Danio rerio: one gene and its partners. The protein of the gene in region 1 interacts with the protein of each later gene in a biochemical or structural test. Links are inferred from orthologs where the notes say so. Each region holds a gene or a part of one and is shown in the gene's direction. Other genes may lie near its edges.

The links.
Region 2: of the proteins of mapk9 (region 1) and elk1, one has a biochemical effect on the other in vitro, tested with the Homo sapiens proteins (2 studies listed by BioGRID). The link is inferred for Danio rerio from reciprocal best matches to the Homo sapiens genes MAPK9 and ELK1.
Region 3: of the proteins of mapk9 (region 1) and jun, one has a biochemical effect on the other in vitro, tested with the Homo sapiens proteins (17 studies listed by BioGRID and IntAct, with this or other methods). The link is inferred for Danio rerio from reciprocal best matches to the Homo sapiens genes MAPK9 and JUN.
Region 4: of the proteins of mapk9 (region 1) and maptb, one has a biochemical effect on the other in vitro, tested with the Homo sapiens proteins (2 studies listed by BioGRID). The link is inferred for Danio rerio from reciprocal best matches to the Homo sapiens genes MAPK9 and MAPT.
Region 5: the proteins of mapk9 (region 1) and junba form a complex in vitro, tested with the Homo sapiens proteins (2 studies listed by BioGRID). The link is inferred for Danio rerio from reciprocal best matches to the Homo sapiens genes MAPK9 and JUNB.

Annotation. Positions count from the first base shown.
Region 1 is NC_133196.1:35,055,008-35,059,196, reverse strand, and holds the start of mapk9 (mitogen-activated protein kinase 9), read left to right. Parts: upstream 1-1,375; 5' UTR 1,376-1,583; intron 1,584-4,189. UniProt on the Homo sapiens protein: Serine/threonine-protein kinase involved in various processes such as cell proliferation, differentiation, migration, transformation and programmed cell death.
Region 2 is NC_133183.1:10,265,954-10,270,134, forward strand, and holds the start of elk1 (ETS domain-containing protein Elk-1), read left to right. Parts: upstream 1-1,368; 5' UTR 1,369-1,976; coding exon 1,977-2,001; intron 2,002-4,181. UniProt on the Homo sapiens protein: Transcription factor that binds to purine-rich DNA sequences. Forms a ternary complex with SRF and the ETS and SRF motifs of the serum response element (SRE) on the promoter region of immediate early genes such as FOS and IER2.
Region 3 is NC_133195.1:16,778,694-16,782,240, forward strand, and holds jun (transcription factor Jun), read left to right. Parts: upstream 1-1,181; 5' UTR 1,182-1,450; coding exon 1,451-2,377; 3' UTR 2,378-3,041; downstream 3,042-3,547. UniProt on the Homo sapiens protein: Transcription factor that recognizes and binds to the AP-1 consensus motif 5'-TGA[GC]TCA-3'.
Region 4 is NC_133178.1:20,907,585-20,911,101, reverse strand, and holds part of maptb (uncharacterized protein maptb), read left to right. Parts: intron 1-69; coding exon 70-133; intron 134-1,101; coding exon 1,102-1,152; intron 1,153-2,049; coding exon 2,050-2,282; intron 2,283-3,517. UniProt on the Homo sapiens protein: Promotes microtubule assembly and stability, and might be involved in the establishment and maintenance of neuronal polarity.
Region 5 is NC_133176.1:55,055,542-55,059,025, reverse strand, and holds junba (junB proto-oncogene, AP-1 transcription factor subunit a), read left to right. Parts: upstream 1-1,423; 5' UTR 1,424-1,527; exon of another isoform or gene 1,528-1,648; coding exon of another isoform or gene 1,649-1,750; coding exon 1,751-2,626; 3' UTR 2,627-2,975; downstream 2,976-3,484. UniProt on the Homo sapiens protein: Transcription factor involved in regulating gene activity following the primary growth factor response. Binds to the DNA sequence 5'-TGA[GC]TCA-3'.

The DNA of each region.
Region 1 (4,189 bases):
CTCACAGCAAGAAGGTCGCTGGTTTGAACCTCGGCTCAGTTGGAGTTTCTGTGTGGAGTTTGCATGTTCTCCCTGCCTTCGCGTGGGTTTGCTCCGGTTTCCCCCAACAGTCCAAAGACATGTGGTACAGGTGAATTGGGTAGGCTAAATTGTCTGTAGTGTATGAGTGTGTGTGAGGATGTTTCCCAGAGATGGGTTGTGGCTGGAAGGGCATCCGCTGCGTAAAAACCTTCTGGATAAGTTAGTGGTTCATTCCCTGGATTAATAAAGGGACTAAGCCAACAAGAAAACGAATGAATGAATGAATGAATCCCATGACATCTTTGATGCAAATTGCACTGTGGTGCATGAAAGAAAGGCTGATTTACCATCTGATATTTGTGTGTGTGTGTGTGTGTGTATGTGTTTGTGTGTATATATATATATATGGTGCATGTTTTTCTTTTGAAATATTTCCCAAGAGATGCTTGACAGAGGAAGGTAGGCTAAATCCGTAGTGTATAAGTGTAAGAGGGTGACAAAAAAAGTCGTTATCATATGGACAAGTTTAAATGGAGGACTTGTTCTAAAGGGCCGACCGAATAATAAAACGAAATAAAACTTAGTAAGAAGACAATAATTTGTTTTGAGACATCAGATAGAATCTAATTTCCTTATTTTTATATCAAAATAATAATAATAAAAAAAAAGGTTTTGTGTTTTTGAGGCAGGTTGGTTTGATATCTTAAGATTAGTTTGCTGACATGATTTTAGTTGCATTGTGCTAATTGGTATTCATGGAGTGCACCAGGCAAGGTACAACAAAATGAACAACAGAAAGTATCCCCACACACTCACCCTATTAAGCTATCCTTCCTCTTTTACCAATGAACAGACCCCTAAGCTTGAATTATTTTTGTTATACAAAAAAAAAAAAAAAAAAAAAAAAAATATATATATATATATATATATATATATATATATATATATATATATATATATATATATATTTATATATATATATATATTTATATATATTGGGTAGGGCGTGTTTTCAGTGTCAAACAATTATTAGCGAATATGATGAAGAAATTTGTTTGGATTTACCGTCTATGGGATTTACATTTTAACAAACTATTTTGTTTAACAGAAAAACTATGACAGCGCGGAGGCCTTATATTTGTGAAGCCTGGCCTAGTTAAAAACGATGTTTATAGACAACAAGTCTCTCGTCTATTAGCCACAACCTCAATTTGACAGTGAGCTTCAATCCTTCCTGCAACTTTTCAATCTGCATCAAAAGTTACAACTCGACCTGACGAGTGCGCCATTACGTCATCCTACCCAGTGCGCGAGAGCGAGCGAGAGAAAGAGAGAGAGACGTCGAAAAAATACTGTCCCACCAACCTCCGCCCAACGGTCAGTCATGCCACACTCTGGATTTTACTGTCAAGCCTCCTAAAAGAGAGCTGAACTTGACCTGTCCGTCGTGTTGAACGTGGAAGCGATAAACGCCGACACTTCCGCGGTTCAGAGGCTCTGTTTGCTGGCGAGTGTGTGTATGTATGGGAGTGAACTGGAGAACGCGAGGAGAAGAAGAGAAGGTAAGCACGCAGCGAGCTAGCGAAAATGTATACACCTCAAACAGTCGTGTGTTTCTTTTAGCCACTACAAAGACATGCTGTCGTGTTTTTACGGAGGAGCGAGCAGAGAGCGCGTGTTTGTGTGCTCGTGTTGTCGTGGAGTGCCAGTTTGCCGGGAGTTTGACACACATACACACACACACATACACATCTGCAGCAGTTCTGGCCTCAAGATGGATCAGGCCGACACAAGAGTCACTCACAGCCACGCAGAAGAGCTTACCATGAGTGTTTGGGATGTAAAGTCTATTAGTTTAATGCGATTTATTGTTTAACTGGTGTATGTTATGCAGGGACGTAGCTAGCTGCGACTTAGCTTTGCTGTGATGGAGCGACTGCAGCCTGGCAGCAGAATGACATGACTTAAAAACGTGGTAAATCTACTCTTGACATGCTGTGGATTTATATTTAGTGTTCGTGGATTGGCTTAATATATCAGTGTATATTCTGTAAGGGGGCAACTTGTATCTGAATGAGGTCAATGACACTGCTGTGATGCATGAACTGAAGGATGTGTTGACATTCTGCAGGTCAAGAGATGCACTGTAATTCAACTACGATTCATATCTTTAGGCCATTTAGTTGCTTATTCACCTAACATTGAAAGTTGAAGTACATCTAAAACAATCACCTGTAATAAGTTAGCTTTTCATTAAGAAAGATTTGTATGATTTCCTGTTATTTACATTTTCAGTCCAATATTACATTATTGGTTCATCATTGGATAAATTATTTGCCCTCCTGTTTATTTTTTCCGCATTTTTTGTTTAGCGGAGAATATTTTTTCAACACAATTCTAAACATAATAGTTTTAATTACTCATTTCTAATGACTGGTTTATTTTATCTTTGCCATGATGACAGTAAATAATATTTGACTAGATTTTTTTTCAAGTCACTTCTATACAGCTTAAAGTAAAACAAATAAGACTTTTTCCAGAAGAAAAAAAAAATCAGACATACTGTGATCATTTCCTTGCTCTGTTAAACATCATTTGGGAAATATTTACCAAAGAAAAAAAAATTAAAGTGGGCTAATAATACTGACTTGAACTGTATGTGTGTCAGCAGCACTCAGCAGGTATTTTTGTATGTGTTTGTTTTGTGAGAAAGTTAATAGCAGGATGCCCTTAAGCAGCTATTTCTTGTACATTTATATTCATTTTTCAGGATGATACTAGAAAGTTCTGAGGAAATCGCATTGCACTTTGGGCACTCAAAGTTTCATTGGATTCTGCAGCGATTATCATATGACATTATGCTCTACTTCATCTTTAAACAAAAAAAAAAATAAAAGTCATAAAAAAATAGCTCAGGGAAAAATAATTAATCTAATTAAAAATTAGTTTTGCCACCATTTAAAGGGCACCTATGATGAAAATCAGCTTCTGTAAGCTGTTTGGACAGAACTATCTGTTTGTGTGTCCACTGTCATGTTGGAGTAATAGAAACCCAACAAGTCTCATTTTTAAAATTTCCTGATGTTAAAATAGGACCCAGATCCCAGTGATTTTGAGGCTCAACGTGACATAGGAGTGCGGTTTCCATGTGCACCGAATTAATTGACAGCATACGTTTCTATAATACATGTATAGACATGTCCACAGAACATTTGTTTGCAAATAAACTGGGATAAAATATTTGTTCCAACTCTTTAATTTTTGTATTAAGTTTAAAAGTTTTTAATACAGAGCATGTTTGTAATAAAGACAGTAAAATTGATATGTAGTTCTTAACCGCTATAATCACTGCGGCCACGTGGTGTTAGTAAACACACACATATATATGTATGTGTGTGTACTGCTTCTATGAGTGACTTGCAGCGACAAGTGACAACAGACATCCTAAGTTTCCAGGAAATTTCGGGAGTCACCCCCAAATGCATAAAGACTCCTGGATGCCTGCAAACGAATGATAATCTCCCGGAAATCGTTTTTCTTTTGCCCGGTCCTCAAGTTCTTTGCACAGTTCAGATTTGCACAGTTGCACAGTTCACACTCTTCAGATACGTTGCGCACCCCTGCCCCGCTCTTCAGATATGTCGCCCTCCACCCCTCAATCTCCCTTAAATCATCCCTGTCTTCACTGGAAATCACTTTTCCTTACTTGGGATGTCTGCGACAAGCGACCATTCATTTCAATAAAGAGCAAGCGACCTCCATCTACATGAGCAACAGCGACCGTTGGTGACAAAGTGGGTGTGTCAAGCTCAACTTTATGCAAATGAAGAGTGACTTGCTTGAGTGACAGCCAATAGGAGCACCAGAGAAGCTCACGTGATCCTCTCTCAGCTTCGGCAGAAGCATGTTGTATTCTCCATGCTGTAGACCTACACAGACCTGCGTTTGCCTGAAGATAAATAGCCGCAATGACAGAGAACACATTTTTTCTTGATCATCTTTGTAGTTAAGCGTTTTATGTACTGATTCCGTTTATATTTTGTGTATTTTCTGAACAACGTTTACTTTCAGTGGCACGCAAACTCATTTGCTCTCTGTGAATATTACCACAAACGTTATAAGCAATCTCAAGGTGGGAACACCCACAATTGTTTTAATCGCCACCCAG
Region 2 (4,181 bases), on another chromosome or scaffold:
AGAATAGTATTTAAGGAAAAAAAACCACAAACGCGCTGCTTCCTTTTGTGACAACATGGGAAAATCAACAAGCCAGAATCAACAACAAAGCCAGAGTACAATTTGCTAAATTACACTGGTAAAAAGAATAATATTTGGAGACATGTCTTGTGGTCTGATGGAACTAAGATTGAACTGTTTGGCCATAATGACCAGTGTTACATTTGGAGGACAAAGGGAAAAGCTTACAAGCCTAGGAACACCATCCCAACTGTGAAGTATGGGGGCGTCAGCACCATGTTGTAGGGCTGTTTTGTTGCAGGAGGGACTTGTCCACTTCACTGCATAGATGGCATCATGAAGAGAGAACATTATGCAGAAATACTGAAGCAACATCTCAAGACATCAGCCAGGAAATTAAAACTTAGCCACAAATGGGTCTTTCAAATAGACCTTGACCCTAAGCACACTGCCAAATTAGTTAAAATGTGATTTAAGGACAACAGAGTGAATGTTTTGGAGTGGCCATCACAAAGCCCTGAACTCAATCCAATAGAAAATTTGTGGGCAGAGTTGAAAAAGCTTGTGCGACCAAGACAGCCAACAAATCTAACTCAGTTACACCAATTTTGTCAAGAGGAATGGGTCAAAATTCCTTCAAACTATTGTGAGAAGCTTGTGGAAGGATACCCAAAACATTTGACCAAAAGTTTTACATTTTAAAAGCAAAGCTAAAAAAAAATACCAATAAAATGTATGTAAACTTTTGACTGTCTGGAAATTAATAAAAAAAAATTTCAATAAAAAAATTGTCTCATTATTCTGGCATTTAGCAAATGTAAATCATTTAGGTAATCTTAACGGACCTAAAATAGTAAACGTTAAGTATGATTTACCATCATATATATATATATATATATATATATATATATATATATATATATATATATATATATATATATATATATATATATATATATATATATATATATATTATTTTTTTTTTAATGGTTATGTTCCTTTTTTTAGAGTGTATGTAAACTTCTGATTTCAACTGTATATATATAGTTTTTTTAATTGCAAATATTTTTGTTTTTATGCGCTGCTTGGTTTTTATTAGCAGTTCTTTTTTTTGTTTGCAAATTTTATTTTTATTTCTCAAAACTTGCTTTGCATTTCTTTTATTCTGCAGGTATTTGTGGTCCTAGATTGACTCCATAGTGTGTGAAGATTTTCATTCGACCTTGATGCTAGAAAAAATACTGAAATAGTTTTTCCTTTCATTCATTTCGCTCCACAGCAAGCCCGCGTCATGCCTGTTGCAGTGACGTCACGGCCGCACAAGGGACTCAGAGCAGAGCAAAAAGAGAGAGGTGGAAAAAAAGAAACAAGTGTTCGAGGCGTTCGTGGAAACAGGAAGCAAAGAGGGGGGAAAGCCGAGCCGAGCACAGACTGTTGTTGTTGTTATGAAAAAGAAACTTCGGAAGGGAGCGCTCTGGTTCTCACTAGCCCGTTATTTTGCGCTTTTTAACTGTCGGTGCTGTCGGCTGAAGCGCGAGGACTTTCCGTCCGTTGCTTGGACACCGATGAAGGAGGGAAGCTCGCGGACTAACGGCTACCTGATCAGGGGTCTCGGGTTTATTTGCCCTCCCTGACCGTCCACCACACTGGAACTAACCCCTCATTACTGTTGCCGTATTCCTATAAAGGCAGCGCGTCACACTGCACCTTTTAAGCAAAGCCCTGGTGGATTTTACCAGAGTATTTTTACGTTTGAAGAAGTCTTCAGTCCGTCTGACAGGAACGGTGCACGCGCAGCTAACGCGAGCTAGCGACTTAGCTGCTAATGTCAACTAACATGGAGGGAGAGGTGCATGTGTTACATAACAGCCAAACGCAATTAAATCACCGACTTTTGACACCCAACAAGCACAGCGATGGACGTGAATTAATCTCCAAAGAATAAGACAGGCCATAGACCGATTTATTTGGGAGTGATGGAGTCGAATCCGCTGATCAGCGGTAAGTTTTAATGCACTTCGCAGAGGTTGGGAGATGGTGGAGTGATTACAGTCGAGTTTAATAAAGTGCTTGTTTGTCAAATAAAGCAGAATACATTCAACAATAGCTTCGTTTTGTTTACGATTCGTTTGTACGTGAGCTCTAGGGTGCTTAATCCATAGTGTGTTGCAGAACGTTTTGTTCAGTGTGCCTGTTCACAACACAGTGAATGATTTTAACGTTATATACATTTGATTTTGGCCAGGGTGAGTTAACAAAACATGTTGGAAGGCTAATGCACAGATACTGTGTTGGAGCACATGTTTTGCAAAACAAATTTCTATCATTAACCGACTCCACACACTGCTGTTTTTGCGTCAAACACAGCATACCAGTGCTTGGTAGACGTTTTTACCTCCTGGATGTTTCAGTGATGTTCATTCAGCAAAAAGAGCTTGAATGTCATTTTAACACAGCTTTCTATATTTCACTGTTAATTAATATATATATATATATATATATATATATATATATATATATATATATATATATATATATATATATATATATATATAGTACAGTATTTCAAATCTCAGCACTCCCAAACAAGCTAGTTCACAGCGTGAATGGTTTGTTTTTATGTTTGAGAGGTGGATTTTATAAATTAAAAGCTGTTATTATATCGCTGTTTATTTCATATTGTACTATAATTGAGCAACATGTCCTTAATTTCCTCTGTTTACATTAATACAAAACACTCCAGGCTAGGGCTGCACAATATATTGTTTCAGCATTGTTATCACAATGTGATCATTGTGCAATGTTGAGTTTGTATTATAACTTATTATTTGCATGTGTTTTTGAAGCCTGTGATTGTATAAAGATTTTAAAAACATTCAGGCATAAGAAATCGTTCTATTTGTGGCATTAACTATGAATAACTTTATTGAATTATTTTAATTATTCAGTTACTGTACTTGAATACTATTAGACTCCATACACACAGAGTTGAAGTCAGAATCATTAGCCCCCCCTGTTTATTTTTTCCCCCGTTTTCTGTTTAGCAGAGATATTTTTTTAAACACATTTCTAAGCATAATAGTTTTAATAACTCATTTCTAATAATAACTGATTTATTTTATCTTTGCCTTGATGGCAGTAAATAATATTTTACTAGATTTTTTTCAAGACACTTGCTAATATACAGCTTAAAGTAACGTTTAAAAGCTTAACTAGGTTAATTAGGTCTACTAGTCAGGTTAGGGTAATTAGAAATGTCATTGTATAACAATGGATTGTACTGTAGTATATCAGAAAACAAAATATGTTTTTCAGGGAACCAAAAAATGGACTAATAATTTTTTTCTTAAAATGGTATTTAAAAAATTACAAAATGCTTTTATTCTTGCCGAAATAAAAAAACTTAGACTTTTTCTAGAAGAAAAAAATATTATCAGACATTTCCTTGCTCTGTTAAACATCATTTGGGAAATAATGACCGTTTTATTTTACATTTGATTGTTCTATTTCTGTGCTTGAATACTGTTTGACTCCTCAGAAAACGGTTATTTAACTTTTATTTTTGCTGTCATGTTTATATGCTTCTAAATGTATTATATTCATGCAGATGTACTACACAGAACACCTCATCATCCCAGTCAATCTAAATGAATGAAATCTTTCCAAATAGAGCTATTCAAATTATACGCTGAAATTTAATCCGTCACAATATATGTGTATAAATGATCTCAAAATCCACTTTGTGTACATATTTCATTATTATGTGAAAAACAAAACACAAATGTAAATTCAATCATCAGTCAATGTTCAGATTTGTGCAAAATATAAAACAAATAGATTTCCCAATCAACTTGAGAGTTAATATTTTTATGCTATTCACCTTGACTTACAAAAGTGCATTGAACATGATTGTGCAATGCATGTTAACCGCAGTGCTTGCGTAAACAAATCCAGTGTCATCTTGTATTACCAGCAGGCAGCACGTAAACCCAAGGAGACGGGATGGGCACATTGATGAACCTCAAGGAACTGTTGAGAGCCCCATTTAATTCACGAGTAGATCTGTTTATTAGGGATCTGCTTGGCGTTTTAGCACTGGATTAATTCTGCTCACATCACAGTCCTGTCTGGCTCTCCTCCTTTGGGATGGCCATTCATTCATTGACTATAAGTCATCAGGC
Region 3 (3,547 bases), on another chromosome or scaffold:
TACATACGTTTAAGCAACGTCAGTAAAAATCTCAGAAAGTAAACTGAAACGTCACTTGTCAGCTGTCACGCTATATTCGATCAGTTTGTGGTTGTGGTTGACGCAGTGACGTTTAACAGGGTTGTTTGCACTTTTGAGAGGATCTCTAGGGACTGTCACGGATACGGCGGCTGGACTTTGTGGCACGCTGTCACTCCACAATAAGAAACGCCCCCATTTTTAGACCATTGGCTGACGGAGCAAATGCACTTTGGCATAAAAAAGCAGACTATAGCCCTGTTTCTTCGTGCCAGATTAAATTATGTATGCCTGTATAACACTGAGGTTTTTAAACTAGGGTTCGGGGACCCCCAGGGGGCCAACAAGGGAGTGCTGGAAGTGAAGAAGAGTAAAATTAGCAAATACTAATTAATTCATAATATATTTCAACGACTGATTAAAAAAAAATACTTTTAATCAGCTAATCTAACATTATATTCAAACAAAATGAGTAACATCAAGTTATGCTTATTTAATTTATTATTTCAGAAGGCATTTCTTCTATTTTTTTTTCGTTTTAAATCTCCCTCAACATTTTATTGTAAGGTTGGAAATTAGTTTCACTGACTCCAAACTGTATTTCTAATATATATTTTTTACCTTACTGATGTATATGCAATACATTAAACTGGATCCAGAGAGTGTTTGGAACTTGCTGTTGTTAAAGAATGGCCGCGTCTTGCGAAACTCGCGCAAGAATTGGTCAACTCTCAAACATACAGCGGCACACATTTATTCTGCCTCTTCTTCTCAAACTTATAGTAAAGTTTAAGTTCTAAAAGTGGCGCGTTGTACATTACTCTGCTTCTTTGTATCCCGCCACGGTCTAAAACAGCTAAGCGGGTAACCAGATATTCAAAAACAATACGTAATCCCACAATGCACTGCTTTACAGCATTACCTCATCCCATCAGGCACCGCGAGTAGAATCTTCTGGGTGGTCGTCTAGGCAACGCGCCTTATCTGAAATTGTGACACGCCCAGTAAAACGCCTCCAGCCAATGAGAGGCTGCGCGCATTACATCATTTCTATTTTTAGTGGGGCAGCGGTAGCAGATAAGGTTTGCCTCCACGCTGGAGAAGCTCAGAGTATACAGACCTCGCCACAGTGAAACACCTCACTCAAACCAACATAAATAAGCCTTCGGCTAAGCACTGTTTATCTGCTGGTGTCTGAGAAGCGCGACAGCGGCGGAGGAAGAACTTTCTATCCGCGGAAGGCAGGAGGAGACGAGCCCGTGACACTGGCGATAACTTTACGCAGTAAGTTTCTCGCGGGACGGGGAGTTGAGGAACTTTTCCAATCCTCTCGCTTTTGTTCCAAACACCGCAGCGCTCGTTACTGAACGCGGACAGTGCTTAACAGCGCCTAAAAGACTGCTTCTGAACTAAAAGTTTCGCTTTGCCTTCTATGTCTACCAAGATGGAAACTACTTTCTACGATGACTCTCTAAACAGCGCTTTCTCTCAGCATGACAGCGCCACTTTTGGATACAACCACAAGGCTCTGAAACACAACATGACGCTCAATCTGTCCGACCCCGCGGGGAACCTAAAGCCCCACCTGAGGGCCAAAGCCAGCGATATCCTCACTTCTCCCGACGTGGGACTTCTCAAACTGGCATCACCGGAGCTGGAGAGGCTCATCATCCAGTCTAGCAACGGCATGATCACCACGACGCCAACTCCGACCCAGTTTCTGTGTCCCAAGAACGTGACGGATGAGCAGGAGGGGTTCGCGGAGGGCTTTGTGAGGGCACTGGCTGAGCTGCACCACCAGCACATGCCCAACGTCACCTCGGCTCCCCAAACTACTATCAACAGCAGCATGGCACCGGTCTCGTCCATAGCGGGCGGTGCGGTCTACAGCTCAGCCATGCGCGCTGATCCGCCGGTTTACGCGGATCTGAACACGTTCAACCCTGCTATCAGCAGCAGCTCGGCCAATCCAGCCGCGATGAGCTTCCCGAGCGCACCACCGCAGCTGCCCGTCCAGCACCCGCGCCTCCAGGCCCTGAAAGAGGAGCCCCAAACGGTGCCCGAGATGCCCGGCGAGACCCCACCGCTCTCTCCTATCGACATGGAGAGCCAGGAGCGGATTAAAGCCGAGAGGAAGCGCATGAGAAACAGAATCGCCGCGTCCAAATGCCGGAAGAGGAAACTGGAGAGGATCTCCCGGCTGGAGGACAAAGTCAAGACCCTGAAGTCGCAAAACTCGGAGCTCGCGTCCACCGCCAACATGCTGCGCGAGCAAGTGGCACAGCTCAAGCAGAAAGTCATGAACCACGTCAACAGCGGCTGCCAGCTCATGTTGACACAACAGCTGCAAACCTTCTGAGGAGAGCCGAAGGACATTTTGAGTTCAGCCACATAAACAAACTTCAGGGGCTTGATGTCTGCGATCTGGCGCGACAGAGCCCGCGGGGACCGGGACCGTCCGGCCGGCCGCGTGCCGTTAAAGGATGATCCGACTGGACTTTTGAGGAGCGCAAAACTTCACTCGGTCCGACAGAGACGCAGAGCGCATGAGACTCACTCTGTTACATGTTTTACTTTCTGACGAAATCCTTGTTCACATCGACCAGGTTGTGCATGGACCTATACGCTTCAAAGGAGCACTCAGTATTATAGGAGTAAAACAGAGACGCGACTGCCGTACAGTAGGGATACTGGCTCACCAAGCAGGACGTTGTGTCTGCTAAACTTTTGATAAAAAAGCTGCCTGACTTCTGAGCTACATATTGTACTTTTTTTGTTGTTCTTAAATTGAACGGAAATCGACTTTTTTCCTTTTGAGTTAGTCCAACTTAAGCAGTTTCTTTTTCTAAAAAAAAAGTTCATTAATGAGGTTTCACTCATTGTTATTTGTAAATATGATCAACCAGGAGTACTTAAGTTTACCATTTGTAAGTAAAGTACAATAATTTTTTATGTTTGTTTTCTGAGCACCTCAGAAACTAATCAATATTTATGAACTGTAATAAAGTATGTCAAATGAAAAACAATGTCTCTGTTGTCTTAATGGAAATGACGCTTGTGTGTGTATGTGTGTGTGTGTTCAAATTGACAAACATGTAATAACATGTTTTGGAAGAGACTGGCTGTTTTGTAAAGTCCACAGACAGGACTGGGAAAAAAGGGTGTCAAAAAACATCCTTACAGTAATTAAAAATAATAACATTATAAATACATGCTTAATTGCTAAAGGTTAAATGCAAACTTAATATAACATTTTTACATCAAAATAAAGCAGACACATAATTTGATTGACTCTTTAAATCAGTAATGCTGAAATTATCAAGTAATTATCACACAGTCAAGTACTAAATAGACCAATGCCTTTAATCATGGCCTCATTTTTGTGTCAACTGAAACAAAAGTTTATTAAGGTTAGTGTTAGCCTGCAAATATGTTAAAAAAAATTGTAGAAGTTGAAGATGTATACAAGTTTTAACAATTTAACCAGCAACAATGACTTAATATTAAATTAATAAATGGTTGAAATTTA
Region 4 (3,517 bases), on another chromosome or scaffold:
CTGTAAAATGATTATAAATAGCATTAGATTTACCGCTAGCTCATTCTTGCTTTAATTGTCCATATTTAGGCTGGAGATGCAAAGACAAAGACAGCGGGTGCTAAACCCCAAGGAGTTGGTGCCAAAATCCCTGGTAAGTGATTTTTTTAAATAAATATTTTCAGGGTTCTACATGAATCTTTATTTAGTTCCATTAATAGGAAGTATTTTTGGTGACTCAACATCCGACAGGTTGAAAAGGAACTTGAATGTTATTATGTAAACACTTTTTGCAATTTAGTACTGATTTCCTCTATTTTAAAGCATTCAGTATTGCTGTGTACAATCAAAAAATTCACTCAGTAATTATAACATAATACCTGGATGTATTTCAGTGCATTCACTCACAGTTGAAATCAGAATTATTAGCCCCCTTTTGATTTTTTTTTTCTTTTTTAAATATTTCCCAAATGATGTTTGACAGAGCAAGGACATTTTCACAGTATGTCTGATAATATTTTTTCTTCTGAAGAAAGTCTTATTTGTTTTATTTCGGCTAGAATAAAAGCAGATTTTAATTGTTTTAAAACCATTTTAAGGTTAAAATTATTGGCCCTTTTAAGCTATATTTGTTTTCGATAGTCTACAGAACAAATCATTGTTATACAATAACTTGTCTTATTATCCTAATCTGCCTAGTTAACCTATTTAACCTAGTTAAGCCTATAAATGTCACTTTAAGCTGTATAGAAGCGTCTTGAAAATATCTGATAAAATATTATTTACTGTAATCATGGCAAAGATAAAATAAATCAGTTATTAGAGATGAGTTATTAAAACTATTATGTTTCGAAATGTGTTAAAAAAATCTGCTCTCCGTTAAACAAAAACGGGAAAAAATAAACAGGGGGGCTTTATAATTCAGGAACTTTTAATAATTCTGACTTCAACTGTACATATAATGGCAACATGCAAAAGTATGCACACCTTCCTGCTTTGCTAGTCTTCTGGAAGCACAATTTCTGCCTATTGGAAATGGGTTGTAAAACCCCAAGGGCATAGTTTTCTATTTATAGAGCATTTATGCGACTGATTTGTACCACTTTGATTTGTAAAATACAGCTGCTTCACGGATGGAGCAGCGAAGGACAGGACCAGGGTCCATTGAAAGAGGTAAAAAAAAAAAAAGTCCTGGGCCAGGATCTAATCAAATATTTTATTACACTATGCACTGTTGGCCATGATGAATCTTGTATGGATCAAAAATATACATTTTTAATGCCAAAACTTATAAGAATATTATAGGACAGTTTACCCCAAAATGAAAATACTGTCATATTTTACTTGTTCCAAACCTGTTTGAGTTTCTTTACTCTATTGAACACAAAAGAAGATATTTTGAAGAAAGCTAAAAACCTGTAACCATTGACCATTCGTTTTACCTGTTATATAAATCAATGGTTACAGGTTTTCAGCTATCTTTCAAATATCTTATTTTGAGTTCAACAGAAAAAAGAAACTTATAAAGGTTTGGATCCACTTGAGGAAGAGTAAATAATAAGGAAATTTCCATTTTTGGATGAACTATCCTTTTAAGTAAAGATCATGTTCCATTATCCATGATGTTCCATGCTTCCATGATCATATTTAGTAAATTTAACACAGTAAATATGTGAAACAATTTCTTTATTTGTAATGTGCATTGCTAAGCACTTCATTTGGACACCTTAAAAGGTGATTTTCTCAATATTTAGATTTTTTAGAACCTTGTATCTCAGCCAAATACTGCCCTATCCTAAAAAACTTACATCACTAAAAAGATGGAAAGCTTATTTATTTAGCTTTTATCTGATGTATTAATCTCAATAATCATAAAAAAATAAACATTTATGTACAAACAAGTACATTTATGAATTGTTTTGTGGTTAATAAAATGACACGGAAGCTTGTAAATACTATCATGCCAATGGTAGGCTAGAAGGCCTTTTATAGGACAATAAACTATAGTGTAATAAAAAAAAGCAAAAACAGAAGAAAACATTGTGGTCTTCTGCTGTTTCTCATTGTCAGCCGACTCACCTAAAACCCCAGACCGCAGTGGTTGCAGCAGCCCCGCCAGTCGGTCCTCCACTCCCGGGCAACAGGTGAAGAAGGTAGCGGTTGTACGCACCCCACCCAAATCACCTGGCTCGCTGAGATCCCGCGCTCAGATTGCTCCTGTGGCACCCATGCCTGACTTGAAGAACGTCAAGTCCAAGATCGGCTCCACTGAGAACCTCAAACACCAACCTGGAGGCGGGAAGGTAGTTATGTCATGCATGTCAGAAAATTGGGACACAATTAATCTAAAGCTGCAGTGTTTAGTGCAGTAAACTGTAAGAGTCAGTTTTGACCTCATGCAATGTTCACAGGCCAGTCAATTCATCCTTTTTGAGTGTATATTGGGATTCTGTATGAGACTAGCATCATTTCTAAGAAGCCATTACTCAAGCTCACACAGAAAATATTTGAATACAAAGAAAAAATAATGCTTGCCAAGCTAATCTAATGTCTTTAAGAAGAAAACAAACCCCTTTGCAGAGCCGGGGAGCCGCAGTTCGGCTCAAAGCACCTGGTTAACACTCTTGACTCTCCTTTTCCAGGTGACTATTGTTCATAAGAAGATCGACTTGACTAATGTTAAGTCTAGATGTGGATCCAAAGACAATATGCAGCATGTTCCTGGTGGTGGTAATGTGAGTAACCAGTAGGGTTAGAAATCCTCACTTAAGTGCAGTTAATACTAGACATATATTATAAAAGAAATTCATAAATGAGAAATATAAATGATGAAATGTAAAACTAAAATAAAACTATTGGAAATTAGTGCATTTCCCTCTGGATATTTAAATTTATTTCTATGAGTTGAGATTAAATATAAGGAAAATTAGACATTAGGCATTCAAAATGTTCAATTAATTATTAATTAATTCATATTTCTATTTATCCCATTTTACAATATGACCAAAATAGTTAAAACTGTATATATTAATATTTAACATAGTCAATGAAGAGTTTAGATGCAAAAGCATCTAAGTGCCATCTGAAACGTTCTCTTAAAGCAGACCTGGGCATTTTACGATGGACTTCTTTGGTTGGCCTGTGTAAAGTATTTATTTAATTTAAATTAAACTGCAAACAGAGCCTTGCAATGTGCAGGTCTTATATTGCGAGTCAATAAAAGGTAACTTTCACATAGCGTCTTTTGGACGCTTAGTTTTGTTATTTCAAATAGAGACGTGCTTGTTCAGCGTGCAAATAGGATGGGGATGCACATGAGGTATTTCACGCTCACGTTTTCCAAGTGCCGTAAGTTGAAAAAATCAAAACATTTCAGAGTTCTGTGAGCGGAAAAACGAGTCATGTGACAGGAACCAAATAAGGCAGCTTCACACTTTGTAGGGAATCACACAGTAATAAAGGTAAGCAGGGCCAGCAAGAATATGCAGACATTTTTTGCTATTTCTGCAGAAAAATTTGTAAAAAAAAAAAAAAGAAT
Region 5 (3,484 bases), on another chromosome or scaffold:
TTGAGTTATTATTAAATAACCAAATAAAGGGTAAAAATAACCCAACAAAGCACCAAATATGTTTAACTCAACCATTGGGTTTAAGAAATAACTAAACGTTAAGAACGTGTAGAGTTAACTTTCAGTGAATTTTGAGTTAACTCCACTCATTTCATTTGATAAAGTTGACAAAAATGTCAATAAAAGTCACTTTGTTCAACTGCAGAGTTTAATTTTCAACATTAAAAGTCGACAGAGCAGATATCAACATCCCATAATGCAATTCACACCTATAAATAAACAGAAAACACACATGTGAATCACTAAATACAGTAACTGTTCATTAACACATTTTTATTTACAGTGAATTCTATGAGAAGGATCTATTATTATTACTAGTCATGTTTTATGTGTTATATGACTCAGTACTTAAAAAGCAGTCCAATTCAAATAGCTGATAAGCCCTTGTATGAATCTGTATTAGATATTCTCTTAATTACTTTTATTTTTATATTACTCACTATAGCCTTTCCTAGCATGTTTAACAATAAAGCACATTAACGGGATAGTTCACCCACAAATTATATGTCTGTCATCATTTACTCACCTTTTACTTGCTTCAAAACTTTTATGTTGAACAATGAAGAAGATATTTTGAAGAAAGCTGAAAAAATCTAACGGTTAAGAAAAACAAACACAATGGAAGTCAATGGGTTTCCAGCATTCCTCAAAATATCTTCTTCAGTGTTCAACATATAAAGAAAGGTTTGAATCCAGTCAGTAAATGATGACAGAATTGTAACTCTTGGGTGAACTAACCCTTTAATAGAGCTTCTCTTGATCATTGACGAGATGATGTGGTAGCTCAGACACATTTAACTTGGGCTGAAATCCCCCAATCTCAATCCTGCAATCCTGTATTTACTTAAATGGCCAGTTTAGATGCTCCACCTAAATTAAAGGAATATATTTAGAGCTTGACATTTAAAATAAATTCCAATTTCGTTTATATTAAAGAGCTCCTCGTATATTCTGCTTCAGATCTACGGAGATCACAGTATTGTGTTGGAACCTTTTGTTTCCATTTCGACAAGAATGTTTATTATTATTATTCACACGACATCCTCTAACGTAGTGTTTTTCTCAAGAGACCACAGTAGTGTTTCTGTTTTCATGGCCATGGGAAACTTTTCTTAAAAGTGCCGAGCTATTGCGGCCAGTTTTTGCTTCTTGTCTGTGGAAACAAAAATAGGAGCGCAGCGCTCGGTCTCCCTTTGCTCTCTCGCCTCCAGCGTTGTTTTCAATCTCAGCGCTTACTGGCAACAACGTCATCAACCCATCTGACAGCTCGAGGAGCGGAACGAACTCTCGTCCAATCAGCGGCCGCGATTATCTCAGCCACGCCCTCAGCATTTGGAGTATATAAGAATGAAGGCGCACTTATCATGATACTGAATGCGCGACGGGCCAGAAGAGCTGTTTGTAAATAACCGTCTGGGAAGACACTTTTTGGACGTCAGCTGTCGAGAGAAAACACCTGTCGAATTGGTACAGTAAACTATTTTGGAAGTTTCTTCTTTTTTTGCTCTCTTTTGCCTGATGTAATATAACGGAGAGAACTTGCGGACTTTAGTCAGCTTCAGTACGTCCCAACGTAATCTCTGTTCACATGTCAACAAAAATGGAGCAACCGTTTTATGACGACTCGTTTCTTTCTGCTTATGGTCATCCAGACGCTGCCCTGCACGACTACAAGCTCCTAAAGCAGAACATGAGCGTGAGCTTCGCCGAACCCTACCGGAACCTCAAGACCCTCCGCTCCGAAAGCGACTTCTACACGGCGGCGACCGGAGACGTGGGCTCGCTGAAACTCGCCTCTCCGGAGCTAGAGAGACTCATCATCCAGAACGGTAACGGCGTCATCACATCACCCACGCCGGGGCAGTATTTGTACGGTCGGAGCATCACAGAGGAGCAAGAGGGCTTCGCGGACGGATTCGTCAAAGCGCTGGACGAGCTCCACAAAATGAACCAAATGCCCCCGCCGAACGTGTCCATCGGAGCCCCCGGGGTGTCGAGTTGTTCGGTGGCGTCGTCAGTCTTCGGCGCCTCCTTACCGCCCGAGACTCCGGTGTACACCACCCTGAACAGCTGCAATCCTAACACTAACCTCACACCTGCAGCCAACTACCCGACAGCCACCATCAGCTACCTGCCTCACCATCACCACCACCAGCAGTACCACCACCATCACCACCAGCCCACGCCGCATCCTCATCACTTCCAGCACTCGCTCCATCCGCAGCGGCTCGTTACTCTGAAAGAGGAGCCACAGACCGTCCCCGACCTGCAGAGCAGCGATGGTTCTCCTCCCATGTCGCCCATCGACATGGAGGACCAGGAGCGCATCAAAGCGGAGCGCAAGAGGCTCCGGAACCGACTGGCGGCCACCAAGTGCCGGCGACGGAAGCTGGAGCGCATCTCCCGGCTGGAGGACAAAGTGAAAGTGCTCAAGTCGGATAACGCCGGACTGTCCAGCACTGCGTCCCTGCTGAGGGAGCAGGTAGCTCAGCTTAAGCAGAAGGTCATGACCCATGTGAGCAGCGGGTGCCAGCTGATGCTGACGCCGAAGATCAAGTCGTTTTAGGGGGGAGAGGGATGCTACGGACTCTGGGAAACACTGGAAGAGCAGATCCTGTTTGTGATGATGTTATTGTCGCAGCACTGAGTACGAGCGTTGTATATTTCTTAAGTGTTTTCTTGTAGAAAACTTTAATGTTATTGTTGTTTTCCAAAGATAAGGTACTTTCAGCCGAACGGACAATGGACTAAACTTTTGAAGTGAACAGTTTTGGTTTTGTTGTTAAGTGCTGCCCTTTGAAAACATTCCAGTAAGTTATTGATATTGTGAGTCAGGTTGAGCCAGACCTTTAACTGTTTTTCTGTTTGTTTGTTTTTGTTTATTTTTTATATTTAAGTAAAAATGTTGAAAATGATTCTACTGTTTGGGTTGTTTATTTCAAGCGTAGAGCAGAAACAAAGTTTATTCTGTAGCCTACGGCTTTAAAGTTACGTCGAAGACGTGCCCACGTTGGCTTTTTTTTTCCTGCTGACGCAAGGCCCATATATGGGCAGTTTTGGTCTATGTACGTCACTAAGGGTAGATTTCGGGAACCCCCGCCCACGCTACCGGTCAGGAAGTCCGCGCGCTTTCAACTCTGACGTTCGATGAATGGAGCGCGTGTGAACGAGAGAAAATTTAGCAACGCGGGATTTTCCCCGCGCGCACAAACCTTCCCAAAACAGTTTCAGCGAAAAGAAAACTAGAGATAAAAATATGAGCACGGGCATTTTCCAGGTACTTTGCAGAAAACGGAGCCGTCGCAAGCACAAAAATAGACAAACAGATCTCAGTAAATATAAGAGCAAGGCTTATAAACGAGAAGTGCCCACAGTGACTCCTTTATCAGCTATTTCCCGAAAACACACAGGCGGTAGATTAGCC